Linked DNA regions of Lonchura striata. The protein of the gene in region 1 binds, or shares a complex with, the protein of each later gene. Links are inferred from orthologs where the notes say so. Each region holds a gene or a part of one and is shown on either strand. Other genes may lie near its edges.

Region 1 (6,906 bases):
ACCTGTGTTTGATTTTGGGGTGTGCTTGTGGTCACTCACCCACCCAGGGCACACACGGCCTCGTGCCCCCCAGGGGTCTCTGTGCACCTCTTCCCTGCATTCTTGCGGCCCCACAGTGTCATTGTCACTCGTGTCCCCGCTCATGGCCATAATCCCAGGAGATCCCCAAATCCCTCATGGTGTCCCCCCAGCCGTGGCTGACCCATCTGTCCTTCCCTGTGTCCTTCCTAGAACCACCCCCTCCCCAGATACTCCATCCATCCATCCATCCGTCCCAAAATTCCCCAGCAGTTTCTTCTCACCCTATTCTGCCTCACAAGGGGGTTCTTTGCCCCTCTGGGAAAAGGAAGATTTTTTTTCCCATCCCTGTGGCCCTTTCCCATCACAAAGCAAACTGGTCCAAGCCTTATTCCCAATTTTAGTTGAAAAATAAAAAGTCTTATCATTCTCAGCAGCCTCCACTGGGATACAGGGTGGAGGGAGAGGGATCTACTTTTTCTATTGGGAATATTCCACCTCCACCCCAGTGTTCCTGAGGCAGAGGCTGTTTCCTGAAGCATGTCTGGGTGGATTGGCCTTCACAGATCAGGCCAAGCACAGTCCATGGGATGGCAGAATCCAGCATGGCAAAATGTGGAAAACAAAGTTGAGGGGCTCATCCCCCATTCCCTGCAGGTGAAGAGGGGTGTCTCCCCCCTTCCCAGGGGAAATTTCTCACGGAGATAAAGAATTTCCCCTGGGAGCACCTTCATCTGTGAGACTGGGAGGGGAGAGGCCAGGCTGGAGGGCAGGGCAGTGGGTAGGGAAGGGCTGGGCGGGCTGGTCACATCTTGGGGAAGCTGGCCAGGTTGGCCACACCACAGGCGTTGTTCATGTTGCGGGCAAGGAGGACGTAGCCCTTGTTGCCCCATTCCTCGCCCCAGCTGGAGGGTGGAAAAGCAGAGCCTGAGCCTCTGGAAGAGCCCCAGCCACCTGCAATCCCCAAGCCATCCCAACCCCTGTACCTGTTCTTGATGATCCAGTGCTTGGTGCCCTTCTGTGCCCCGTAGCCCACGGCCAGCACGGCGTGGTTGATGTTCTCGGCGTTGCAGCTCTCGTCGTAGTACACACCTTGGGGACACAGCCGGCGTCACCGGGCGTGCCCCAGGTCCCCGAGCAGCCCCACGAGCCCCGCTCTGCCCCCAGCCCCTCACCCCGGCTGTAGAACTGGAAGGAGGGCAGGCTGGCATCGATGCCCACGGCGATGGGACCGATCCGGGCCACCGCCCTCTTCAAAGCCTTCTCATTCCCCTCGGGGATCTCGCGGTAGCCGCGGCACTTGGCCGCCTTCCCAGTGGGGCTGTACATGCAGCTCTCGTCCTGCGTGGGGCCGGGAAGGTCAGGGTGAGATGGGGATGGGAGGGATGGAGGGGGATTTGGGGCTGTGCCCCCTCACACCTGGCCAATGTAGGGATAGGAGTCCTCGGAGTCGATGCCGCGGTTCTGCCGGACGTACTCGAAGGCGTTGGTCATGTACCCGCCCCCGCAGCCGTCGTTGTTGGCCACGCAGTCCACCAGGTTTTGGGGGCTGAGGGACAGCAGTTTCCCCGTTTTCCTCTTCAGCTGCCCCTCCAGGGCACCCACCGAGCTGAAAGCCCAGCACGAGCCACACTGGCCCTGTGGGGACACAAGGGGTGACACCGGGGTGACACCGGGGTGACGCCTGCTCCAGACTCACCTGTCTTACCTGGTTCTTGACAGGGGTCACATAGCCTTTCTTGCGCCAGTCCATGGCAGCCGGGGCTCTCTCGGTCCAGTCGGGGACAAAGAGTGTCTCGTTGTGGCGTTGGTGACCGCGGGGCACCTTCAGCCCTGTCATTGTCCTCACCACCTCCTCGCTGGTCTGGGGAAGGAGCCCCGGTGGGTGAGCAGGGTGGGTGGGAGCACCCACGGGTGCTCAGCCCCACTGTCTCCCCTGCCAGGGACACCCACCATGTCACCCAGGTGGTTCATGGCCAGCTCGAAGGTGTGGATGCCCAGGGAATGCTCCAGGTTGTGGGTGTTGATGTATTTGAGGTTCTTCTCCCAAATCAGCCTCCGCGTCACCTCGTCCGCCTGCACCGGGGGCAGATGGTGCTGGCACAGGGGTCCTGCTTGTGCCCCCCACCCTCGGGACATCCTTGTGCCCCACTCCCCACCCTGGGGGTCCCAAGCACCGGGCCCCCCCGTACCTGCCCGTTGTATTGCTTGCGGTGGGTTTTTTTCCACAGCTCCCACTGCGCGTCCAGCTCCGGCTCCGGGTGCAGCTGGGCCAGCGCCGCCGGGACCAGCAGGGCCAGCAGCACGGGCCACCACATCCTGGGGACCAGCTGAGCACTGGGACAGGGCACAGGCTGAGCCAGGGGTCCGGCTGGGGGCAGGACCCTGAGCCCACCCTCCTGTGGGAACAGAACCTCCTGCACACCCCGATTTGGGGCCAGGACCCCTTGCGCACCCTGATTTGGGGCTGGGACCCGCTGCCAACCCTGGCTGGGGACTGGGACCCCTTCCTGCCTGGGTTTGGGGCCAGGACACCCCCGCGGGCAGGGCTGGCCGGGCGCCGGCATCACATGAGCCGGGACAGCCGGTTCCCGTTACCCGGAGCCAGGGGGGAGATTTGGGATGCCGAGGGTGCAGGAGGGAGAACGTTCCCCCATCCTGCCCCTCCCTGGCTTCACCCAGCGCCCCCAGCCCCCCGTGGCACGGCAGGACCCGGGACACTTCCCCGAGCCGGGGATCCCCAGGCCGGCTGGACGTCAAGTGCCTCAGTTTCCCTTTTCGTGCCTCCGAGGGTCGCACACGGGAGCCGATTCCCTCCCATTCCCCCTGGGATCCATTTCCCTGGGGAAAAAGCCACCCAGCGCCCCCCTGGGGGACCCCTCCCCGCCGCTTACCCAGCACGGAGCCGTCGGTGGGAGCGCCGGGACGGGGCCTGCGGGAGCCGCGGCCGCTGCGCTTTTATGCTGCTGGATTGAGGAAGTTTGGAGGCGGCCGGAAAATTTTGGCAAACATCGGGTTCGGATGGGAAGGAGGGGACAAGGAGGGGGGACGAGGGGGCTGCCCCGGCTTCACGTGATGCTGCGGGAGGAGCTGAGTCAGCCCCGGCGCGGGGCGGGCGGCGGGTCCTGCCCGGGACATCCTCCTGTCGCCGGGATGTTCTCCTGTCCCCGGGATGTTCTCCTGTCCCCGGGATGTTCTCCTGTCCCCGGGATATTCTCCTGTCCCTGGGATGTTCTCCTGTCCCCGAGATGTTCTCCTGTCCCCGGGATGTTCTCCTGTCCCTGGGATATTCTCCTGTCCCTGGGATATTCTCCTGTCCCCGGGACGTCCTCCTGTCCCCGGGACATGCTCCTGTCCCCGGGACGTTCTCTTGTCCCCGGGACACCCTCCTGTCCCCGGGATGTTCTCCTGTCCCCGGGACATGCTCCTGTCCCCGGGACACCCTCCTGTCCCTGGGATGTTCTCCTGTCCCTGGGATATTCTCCTGTCCCCGGGACATCCTCCTGTCCCCGGGACGTCCTCCTGTCCCCGGGATGTTCTCCTGTCCCGGGACGTTCTCCAGTCCCAGCATTCTGCCCTGGGGACACCCTCCTGTCCCAAGGATCCCGGCCCCAGGGACACCCTCCTGTCCTGGCATCCCAACTTGGGGATGTCCTGCTGCCCTGGGGACATTCTTTTGTCCTGGAATCCCACGCTGGGGACATTGTCTTGTCCCAGCATCCCACCCTGGGGACATTCTGCCGCCCTGGGGAACTCCCACGTTGTCCCCAAGTCCTCCCCGTGGCCGAATCGGATGGAGCTGAGCACCCACTTCCTTCAGGAGCAGCCGGACACGGCAGCTCGGGGACATCGTGTGCCAGCAGGAGCGGAGGACGGGACCCCAGCTCTTGTCCCCAGTGTCCCCAACCCGGGGCTGCCTCCCAGTTTGGGGGTCCCTGGCCGGGGGAGGTGGGGCCGGACGGTGCTTTCTGCAGTGACCGTCACCTCGTCACGCGGCTCCTGCCACGACAAGGCGGAGGGGCCTGGTGGCACCAGAGCCATCCCAGATGTGTCACGCTGGGGACATCCACATCATCATCGCTGTCACCCTCCAGCCACGGGAACGAGGAGGAACCAGCCCAGCGACCAGGAGGGGAGGGGGGGGATGGAGCAGCACCAAGGTGGGGGTGCGTCCCTGTCACCCCTACCCCACGGGGGTCCCCAGGAGAGGGGCCACCCCCCTGTGACCCGAAGCTCTGTGGGGACAGGGGGGCTGAGTCACCCCGGGGCTCCAGGGCAGAATCATCGCCCGGAGCACGAGGCCCTGACGTGGCAGCGAGTGACCGGGAACCGAGGGGACCAACGGGGAAATGGGGGAGGACGAGGGCTTGGGGCAAAATGGGAGGAGGAGGATTATGGGGGGGAAAATGGGGGGATAGGGGCTTGGGGGCCAAAGGGACAAAACAAGGAGGGAATGAGAGTTGGGGCCAGAGCGGGGAGGGGATGGGGATTTAGGGACATTCCTCAAGATGGGGACAGAAAGAGGCAGAAATGAGACAAAGGCTGGGAAAAGGGAAAATCTCTTGTGGGAAAATCTCCTGTTGGAAAATCTCTGCTGTCCAGAATCCACCAGGCCGAGATACCTGAGGCTGGGACACACCTGGGGGGGGTTCAGCTCCTGTCCCCCCAGGGAATGTAGGATAAAATTCCACCCCAGGACAAACACTGGAGTTCCCAAAGAGGGGGAAAGGGCCCAGCCCGTCCCCTGTCCTTGTCCCACATGCAGCAGCCCCTGGGAACCCTGTTAGCTGCTCCTCATCCTCCTTCCCAACAGATTTGACTGCTCCTGGTTTCCTTCTCCCAGGATCTGGAAAATCTGGGGGGGGATACAGCCACAGGACCTGCAAGGGCTCAGGGAAATGGGAATTTTCCTTCTCCTTTCAGAACTAAAGGGGAAGGGCCCAGGATGTGATGGGATGCTGGGGAGGAGGTTATTGCTGGGAACAAGCTCCCTGGATAATGGGACAGGGTGGATCACAGGATGTCTTCAAATGGGATGTTCCCACTTATCCATAGAGAACTTTGGAATTAAAAAGACCCAAAAAACAAACAACTAAAACAAAACCTTCAAGTCTTAATTTTCCAGAGGGAAAAGGGGAGGGAAAAATAAAGCTTCCTGCTCCACTTACAAGAGGAATCTCTCTGGGCTGGTGACACAAAGGTTTCAAAGCTTCCTACGTGGATTTGTCAGGAATGACAGCTCTGGAATCAGGTCTTGGAAAAGGGGGGCTCCCCCCATTCTTGCCCTCAGCCAGCAGAGAGAACACTCACAACCAGCCTGGGGGTCCCAGAGCCCCCCCTCGACATGCAGGAAAAAGGGGGGAACACCCACATTCCATTCAAAACAAAACCAGGCTTCCAGGAACACTTGGGATTCTTCCCCAGCTGCTGTTGAGCCAAATTTCTTTCCAAGTCCAACTCTGCAATTCATCTTCCTGTTGGAATTGAAGCAAGAAGGAATCAAATGGTTCTTCCAGCCCCTGAGGAGAGCAGGGTTGGCCACAAGTTGTTTGTTTTTTTTCCATGGAAAAAGCCAGAAGATTCCAAGTCAATGTTTAAAAATTAAAAATTTATATATATAGATATATATATATATATATAAAAAATTTCATTCTGTTCCCTACTTTTCCAGCTCTCCTCTTACTCTTTGTCATTTGGCAACAGGATCATCCCATGGCAGGAATTCTTCTTTAAGGAGATGGTGAGTGAGCAAATGTAGTGAAAATACACAGTTCCTCAGCAATTCCCTGATCAAATCCAGGGATTCTCCTACATCCAGCTCCAAAACGAGGACAAGGAACTCATCTACATGTGATAAAATTCCATGGACAGCGTGGAGCAGGTTTTATCCCAAAAAACCTCTTGAAACGTCCATTTGTGGCAGCACAGAAACCATCAGCTGGAAAATGGATTCATCCAGAAGAAAGCTACATGGGGTAATATTTTTATGGCTTGTTAATTATTCTGGGTAACGAGGGATCATGGGTCACACTGATTTCATTGCACAGTTCACAGGAGAGGAGATTCCAAACAAACACAGGAATCTCCACACGGAGCACCCTGGACTGGAGACGCTGTAACAACCCTCCAAAAACAGCCAAAATTCCTCCAAAAAGGAGGAAAACACTGGCTTAGGACACGGATTCTTACTCAAGCATTCTCCAGGATTGTGTTTACAGGGATAACACTTGGAAGAGTTCCTTCCAGTATTACAAAAATTCCAATAGTTTGTGTTTTATACAAAAAGTCACGGCAGAGAATGAAATAAAAACAGTCAAAGCCACCTTAAAAGTTTGGAAGGGCTGTCTGTGATCCAGACAGGAATCTCTCCCAAAAAAGAATCCACTCGGGAGTGGCTCTGGGAGCCCTCGGCCTCATGGCACTCAAGTCCTGAAGCTTCCAGAACAATCCCACATGGAGGAGGTGTCCAAACCACCTCCTCTTCCATGGCCATCCCTCCTTGGAGCTCTGCTTCCAGAAGGTGGGAAGTGTTTAGACAGTTCCTTGAGAAAAAGACTCTGCTGTTTTCCTTTACATGTGGATATTGTAGAGAGCTTTATGTTGTTTCCCCTAAGGCTTGTTTTATTCGGAAAAAGAAGGGAATATATTCAGCTCTGGGAATTCTTCATTGTTGTAGTTGGGCCCTTGGTCCCCCAACATGGTCAGCATGTCCTGTGAGGATACAAGGAGAGAGTCAGCATCCAGACTGGAATATCGAGGTGTGCCAGGGAGGTTTGGATTGGAAATTAGGGGGAACAGCTGGACTCCCATCTCAGAGGTTTTTCCAACCTCAACAATTTCATGGCTCCATGATCATGTGGGAAATTTAATAATGGGTTTGCTGGAACA
Region 2 (6,754 bases), on another chromosome or scaffold:
ATCCCAAGTGCACCAGTACTTCACTTAAACCAGCACCCACTTTTAGTACTGTGGGTTCACTGTTTCAGTTGCACAATCTGACCATAACTGATTGCATGCAGTTATTTGAAATGCAGCTTTTCCTGCTGCCCATTACTTTGTTTACTGCTTGTGTGTAAACAACAATGCCTCCCCTCATGGGCATAAGGGCAGATTAACTACAGTAATTACTAAACAGATGTCTGCAAGTGAATACAAATTTCTTGGAGGCAGATTATCTTCTGCACTGGCATAATGGAAAGGGATTCAAAGCAGGTGCTGCTTTCATCCCACAGGTGATGTGAGCAGCTTGGGACTCAGCAGAGGGTTGTGTAGGTCCCATGCCTCTGCAGGGTGATAATCATTGACCTACTTGAGATCAGTGCTGAGAGATGTTTGGTACTTAATTCCTAAAAGTTACCACCAGTGAGTAAATAGCCCTCTAGTGCTATGTGAACTTCTTTCCTGTTACTTGGTTTTTCTGTTCCCAAGAAATCTAAGGCTGTGCTTTCAAGAGGGCTCAACACCCAGACTGAGAGCCTGTGTTTCCCAATAGCTCTATTCCCACTGAATTGTATGAAAGGTGCACTCAGCACTAAGTGCTAAGCTTATTTAGGAGTCATTGAACTTGAGAGGGGGAGTCTTTACTAATCCAGTTGTACTGCCAGCACAGAAGTATGTTTAGAGCGGCCTTTTGGTGCCCTTGAAGCCTCTCCTGGCATATACTGTTTTTCAGCTGGGCAATCACCTTGCAGCCTATCCAGAAAAGCCACTACTGGCTGTTGGCTTGTGGCAAGAACTTGTCAGTATGTGAAAGCTACTGCATGCCAGAGCAGGGACTGCTGACCACGAGTCTCAAAGGCAGGCAGAGACTCTTTCTCCCACCATCACTGAATAAGCTGGTGTGGGATGTGTTCGTTTCCATAAGCAGAGGACACTCTTCTACTGCAGTGAAATAGTTTTGCCTTTGGTATTGAATCACTCTCAGACCCAACTCATAAACTGCTGACTGTCTTGCTCAAGAGGCCTTTTTTTTTTTTTTTGTGAGACCCTTGGACTCATGTGAACATATACAAACCCGGCATTTGGTTCTGGCAGCCAGTTTGACAGAGGAAAACTTGGAAATCTAACCTTAATTTATGATTGATGTATTTTAAAAAGGAGTCAAAAAGCAGATCAAAAAGGCATTTAGAATGTATTGAGTTTGAGATATTTCAAAGGTAATCTCCTACCTGTAGGGAGCATGATTATTTTTTGTGAGCTGAGGTTTGCTATCTCATTACTGAGTGACAACAAAAGCCATTGTTCCTCCTGCAGGCTCCGTTTCTGTGTGAGAGCTGTGCAGAGATTAGAGTTCTGCAGGCTGTGCTTTCCAGCCCTACAGGAAGCAGCCAAAGGCTGTTTTCTTTAGCCAAATGCAGATAGCAGGCCTGGAGGAGAGGTACTCAGATAAAGTGAGAGGGGCTGCCACAGTGGAGATTTTTCTGGGAAGTTCAACCAAACTATGCAATTGTGTTCAAAGAATTCCCTGTGTACATGTTAGGAATTGCAAAGTTAAATTACCACATTTAAAGATATTCTTTCCATTAAGAACAGAAACCCCAAGTATTTTTTGGGCCATGAAAACTACTCTGAGGACATGGACCACAGCAACTCTACCCATTGATGTTACCATCCAACTTCCATCTGCCATTTCTGTTGTCCGTGTCTTCATGGGCTCAATCCTACAAATCTTTCCAACGGATTAAATATGGCACTTTATCTTTCAATCCCACAGACACAGAGCTGTCCATATAACTCTCCAGATGGACAGTGGCCTGGCTGACTGTACTTCACAGGAACTCTGTGCCCATACAGAAGCTTTGGCTGGAGGCTACAGTACATTTATTTGAAGGATTTTCTGCACATATGCATATCTTATAATGGTTAGAGTTGTAAAAGTGAAATTTTCATGTTTGACAACTATATTTTTGAATGGTAAAAGAGAGATGAGGGACATCAAGGGAAAGGGCAAGGGATGTAGCAGTTATATGGAGAAATTAGTAAGCTTAGTACCATAAAAAGCTCACCAGTCCTGAGTGAAATTGAAACATAGACAAAAAGGAAGATGAAAATATGTTGGATATTGCTCAAATATCAACCACAAAAGAAGATGCTAAACCACTATTTTTCTAGTTATACTGACGGCACACAGTATTATAGACTTTTGCAATGTTATCATGAGTCTTCTGCTGCTTAGTAAGTTCTTTAATTACCAGCTTCTTTATTTATCTGGTTATTCATGAATTTGTTTTATATTTTTAAAAAAGCACCTCTGATAGAGCAAGATTGTTGCACCCTGCATAAACAAGCTGACAAAGTACAGCTTTATTTCATGAACAAGGTGCCCTTTATTCATCAGCTGTAGAACATAATTTTTTTTGCCAAACCTTTTTTTCTCCTCATAATTGCTTTGTTTCATGTCCTGATTTCAGGGGGTTTGGACTGGCAATAGTCTACAACTGCTTGTTTCTGTTTGGGTGTCTGCAGGTGATTTTGGTGACATTCATTCTAGGGCTTTGAGCAGCTTGGTCTAGTGGAAGGTATCCCTGTCCATCGCAGGGGGGTTGGAGTGAAATGATCTTCGAGGTCCCTTCTAGCCAAGTCATTCTACGACTATTTCTCTTGCTACAAGAACAACCCCAATTCCTGTCAGTGTTGATAGCTCAGCTTGTTGCCAGCTGCAGGGATTTTTCCATGCTGGATATTTCTGGCATGCAGGCAGCCTTTCCAGTCAGCAGATAAGCCCTTTCCATTATAAGGCAAGTTGTGGATATCCAGGTGCAAAACCTCCTCCTCTCTCAGCCTAACAATTCCATGAGGCATTAAATCTCACTGAAGCTGGCTATAATAAGTCCTGTCTTCCCAAACTTAGGATTTCTGATGGGACGAGGGAGATGTCCTAGGGTGACGTTATGGTGCTTGTATCCCCAACAGTATGTTCTGTTTATGTCTGATATTATGTTTTGTGCTTTCAGAACTGACTGAAAGTGAAGGTTTGTTTTGTTTTGTTATCAGCCGGTTCACCTCCCCCCAGGGTCTGTTGTCTAGAAGAGGTAATGCTGCCTGGCTTGCTTTGCTTTGCTTCCTTGCTCTTGCTCCTGCTTCTGCTTCTGCCTTTGCTTTTGCTTGTTAGTTTAGCTGAACAGTCCAATTTTTTTCCCTGGACTGTTTTTTTTCCCTTTCCCTTTCCTGAATATCATTCCAAACTGCTCTGGGCTGGGACGTGGGAAACACCGAGAGCAGCAGCCATCCCCAGCGCCCAGACCCGGGCCATCATTCCCAAGAGAGACTTTCTGGATTTGTCATCTCTTCAGAGTGGTGAAAGAGTTTTGTCGTCATCTGGTGTTGTTCATTTTTTGGTGCTGGGCAGTGTTTTGTTTGTTAAATAAACAGGTTTTTTTCCCACTTCTCGCCGAGAAAATTCTTCCCGAACAAAGGGGGGGGGGGGGGGGGTGTGAGGGGGCGTGGGGGTTTGTTTTCTGGGGGCTCCTTCCAGAGGTTTTCTCCCAAATTTGTCCTAACCAGGACAGGAGATAATGTTGGTATTTCGGGAGCAGACGGGAAGCAATCCGTCTGTCTGGGAAGCCGCCTCGGCCCTTCGAAGCGTAGGTGAGGCAACACCAGCGCTGCGGAGGCAGAGGTAGGAAATTACTCAAGGTGTTTTGTGCTGGGAACACAACACCGGTAGCTTAAAATGCTCTGTGGCTTTTGTTTTCCTTTCGCAGCAGAGGGAAATAAGCACAAGAATAACCCAGGAAGAGGCAGAGTCTGGGAAAAGCCTCCAGCTTCCCGCGCCCGTGCGGAAAGCATCCTCCTCCGCTTTGCAGCGCCGCTCCCGGGGCCGGTGCAGGGGCTCGGCCGGGGCGGGGCGGGGCTCGGCCCCAAACCGCGCCCGGCCCGGCCCGGCCCGCCCCGCGGCTTTAAAATGGCGGCGGCGTGAGGGGAGCGGCAGAGCGCAGCCATGGCGGCCGGCAGGGTGTCCGCGCTGGTGCTGCTGGCGGCGGCCCTGCTCTGCTTCGCCGGCGCCGTGCGGGGCGCCGGGCTCCGCCCGCGGATGGTGGGCGCCCCGCAGCCCATCGAGAACCCCGAGAACGACGAGGGGCTGGAGCGGGCTCTGCAGTTCGCCATGACGGCGTACAACAGGGCCAGCAACGACATGTACTCCAGCCGGGTGGTGCGGGTCATCAGCGCCCAGAGGCAGGTGAGCCCGGGGGTGCTCTCTCCTAGGGGGCTGGGAGTGTGCCATATGATGGCCGGATTCCTTTGGAGAAAGGGCAGGTCGCTAGCCTGGGGGCCTCTGCAACTTTTCCCCTCACAGAAAGTGAATAAAAGCCCGTTTTTATATCTTGGCTTCTCTCAGTCTGAGTGACCTTGAGTGCTGTGCGCTGTGGAAGGAGCCAGCGGCTTCCCTGCGCTGCTCATGAGTTAACATATGTCTGTGTTTATTGCTAAGGAAGCTGCTTTGTGGGACATGTTTACTTGGATTTTGTTTCCTGTTTCTAAGGGGGTGCCAAGTGCCTCTGTAGTGGAGGTTGCCACATAAAATTCCCTCTGTACTTTCAGAGTCTGTTTTCCATCATGTAACAGGAACACTGCCCGCCTCTCTGGTTCTCGGCGGAGCGCTTCTCCGTGTGCTGTGAGTAAAGCTGCCTCTGCCTGCTTGTCTTGTTGCAGATCGTGGCTGGAGTCAAGTACATAATGGAAGTGGAGATTGCCCGGACAACCTGCACAAAGCCAGCAACTGATATCCAGCACTGTGCTTTCCATGAGGAGCCACAGATGGCCAAGGTAGGCTCCAGGGCACAGCCTGCTGACCCCCACTCTTCCCCATTTCCAGCCCTGTCCCGCTGGCTGGCTTTGTACAGATGCCTGTGGTCAGAGTCCCCTGTCTGCCCTGGCCAACATCAGAGACATAATGCCCTTATACTTAACACGGCAAAGCAAGCTTTGCCCTTGCAGAACTTGTCTTGCCAGTTGATGTCAGAGAAGGCAGGGCCTTTTAGCTGTTTTTCAAGTGGAACTCAGGCTGGAGCAGTGCATGTGTCTCAGTCCTCTTAAGAAGTAGTCATGGTCTGGATCAGAAGGGTATGTGGAGGAAACTGTGTCAGGCCTACAGGCCTCCTGGCTCTCAGTCTTCAGTCCTCATAGAATTCCTACCTCTTTTTTTTTCCCATGGTGATGTAAACATGTGTGGCATGCTTTCCTGTGGGACTTGTATTGCTGTGAATAGAGCCTTGGGCAAAGCACTGCCCAAAAGAAGCAGATCACCCCATCTCTTTGTGCCTACCAAGCACTTTGTAGTGAGTAATTGAGCTTTTTGGGTGGGAGCACCAAACATATCTGCCTTCACCTGGCCTGAGTTTTTCCATAGTGCTTAATTCCTTCTGTTGATGGCAGCAACAGGATGTATGTGCCCTTTGTTCCTGCTTATGTGAGAGGTGTAGCTGCACATAAGAGAAGCACAAAACTGGTGTGTACCATTATGGCAACTGCAGTGATTTGTCACACGTGGCTTCGCTGTGCCTATGGGCTTATGTTTGAGTGTTATTCATGCTGAAAACTTTCCTCTATGAGTGGATAAAGGAGATAATGTCAGCAGTGCTGATGCTCAGCTTTATTTCTTAGGGTTTATTTAAGAGATGTGACTTGCTCCGAGTACAAAAGTGCCGCTCCAGAGTACTTGCCTGGAGAGTGCATATCTAGAGAGCCACAGGAGTAAAGAACAGTGGTAAATGACACTCTTTCATGCTCTTAGTTTCCTAACTACTTTTTTCTTTCTTTCCTTAGCACACCATTTGCAACTTCGTAGTGTTGAATGTTCCTTGGCGAAACCAAGTGGAGCTGCTGGAGAGCAAATGCCAGTAAACCTACCTAGATTCTACCAGAGACCAGCAACCAGTTGTTCAGATTTAAAAGAAAAATGCAATAACACAAATTGAGATGGGCTTTATCAACGCCTGCAACTTGGCTACTGATGTATGCTTGTGCTATGCAAATTAAACCATGTAACTTCACTTTTAAAGCACAGTATGATCTCAACTTTTTCTTCTTTGGAATTACTATTTTAGAGCAGCTGTTTTGGTCTTCTACAGCTTTCCCAATGAATTCACTCCAGTATCAGAATTTTTATTAAAACCTCTTGGTATCCATGTTAAGTGACTACTGTAAACATAAAAAATTAATTAATTGCCATGATGTGTGGTTTTCTTTGATCTTCTGCTGCCTTGGAGGGAGGGTTTGCTTTTACTTGTCACCTATCCTGCCCTAAGAATGGGATGAGAAGAAATACTGGGTCGTGATCGCAGAGGAGACAAACCATGCCTGCTTGTTTCTTAGCTTGGCCTCTGGTTCTGAGTAAAAGATGGAAGCCCTAGCTGTTTTCACTGAAGGAACTCTGCTTTGGAGAACTCTTGATCTTGGGAATGGTTTTGGGTCCTGGCTGCTGTACTGTTCTAAGGCTGTAAGAAAGAAGGAGGCTCCCCAAGATAAAATTGCATTTTCAGGTAGTAGGGGAAGGTGCCAGGTCAAGAGAGAGTCTTGGGACTGGTGAAGGTGCTGAGGTGAACAATGGAGGAGCTTCTTGTTTTTTTCACAGTCCTGATATACAGTAAGAAATGCTTTATCTTGTGTTTTTGCTTTTCTGTATTTTGAAATAAACCTTTTCCTTTTGGTGTGAATGTCACGCATGCATACA

Evidence for each region. The genes of interacting proteins can lie anywhere in the genome.
Region 2: the proteins of CTSK (region 1) and cystatin are in contact, whole or in part, in a crystal structure (PDB 8V57), measured with the Mus musculus proteins. The link is inferred for Lonchura striata from reciprocal best matches to the Homo sapiens genes CTSK and CST3. Residues at the interface, in NP_031828.2 of Mus musculus: Asn132, Gln133, Gly134, Gln135, Cys136, Gly137, Cys139, Trp140, Glu173, Asn174, Tyr175, Cys177, Gly178, Gly179, Gly180, Tyr181, Met182, Ser248, Ala251, Ser252, Gln257, Phe258, Val274, Asn275, His276, Ala277, Ser297, Trp298, Ser301, Trp302; in NP_034106.2 of Mus musculus: Pro27, Arg28, Met29, Leu30, Gly31, Ala32, Pro33, Gln75, Leu76, Val77, Ala78, Val80, Asn81, Tyr122, Pro125, Trp126, Lys127, Thr133.

The regions. Positions count from the first base shown.
Region 1 is NC_134635.1:2,853,363-2,860,268, forward strand, and holds CTSK (cathepsin K), read right to left. Parts: upstream 3,017-6,906; 5' UTR 2,913-3,016; intron 2,356-2,912; 5' UTR 2,337-2,355; coding exon 2,211-2,336; intron 2,095-2,210; coding exon 1,972-2,094; intron 1,883-1,971; coding exon 1,727-1,882; intron 1,657-1,726; coding exon 1,438-1,656; intron 1,360-1,437; coding exon 1,194-1,359; intron 1,111-1,193; coding exon 1,005-1,110; intron 924-1,004; coding exon 824-923; 3' UTR 405-823; downstream 1-404. Other genes in the region: ARNT (aryl hydrocarbon receptor nuclear translocator), read right to left, coding at 6,640-6,729. UniProt on the Homo sapiens protein: Thiol protease involved in osteoclastic bone resorption and may participate partially in the disorder of bone remodeling. Displays potent endoprotease activity against fibrinogen at acid pH. May play an important role in extracellular matrix degradation.
Region 2 is NC_134605.1:22,612,255-22,619,008, forward strand, and holds cystatin, read left to right. Parts: upstream 1-3,993; 5' UTR 3,994-4,021; coding exon 4,022-4,261; intron 4,262-4,734; coding exon 4,735-4,848; intron 4,849-5,847; coding exon 5,848-5,925; 3' UTR 5,926-6,252; downstream 6,253-6,754. UniProt on the Homo sapiens protein: As an inhibitor of cysteine proteinases, this protein is thought to serve an important physiological role as a local regulator of this enzyme activity.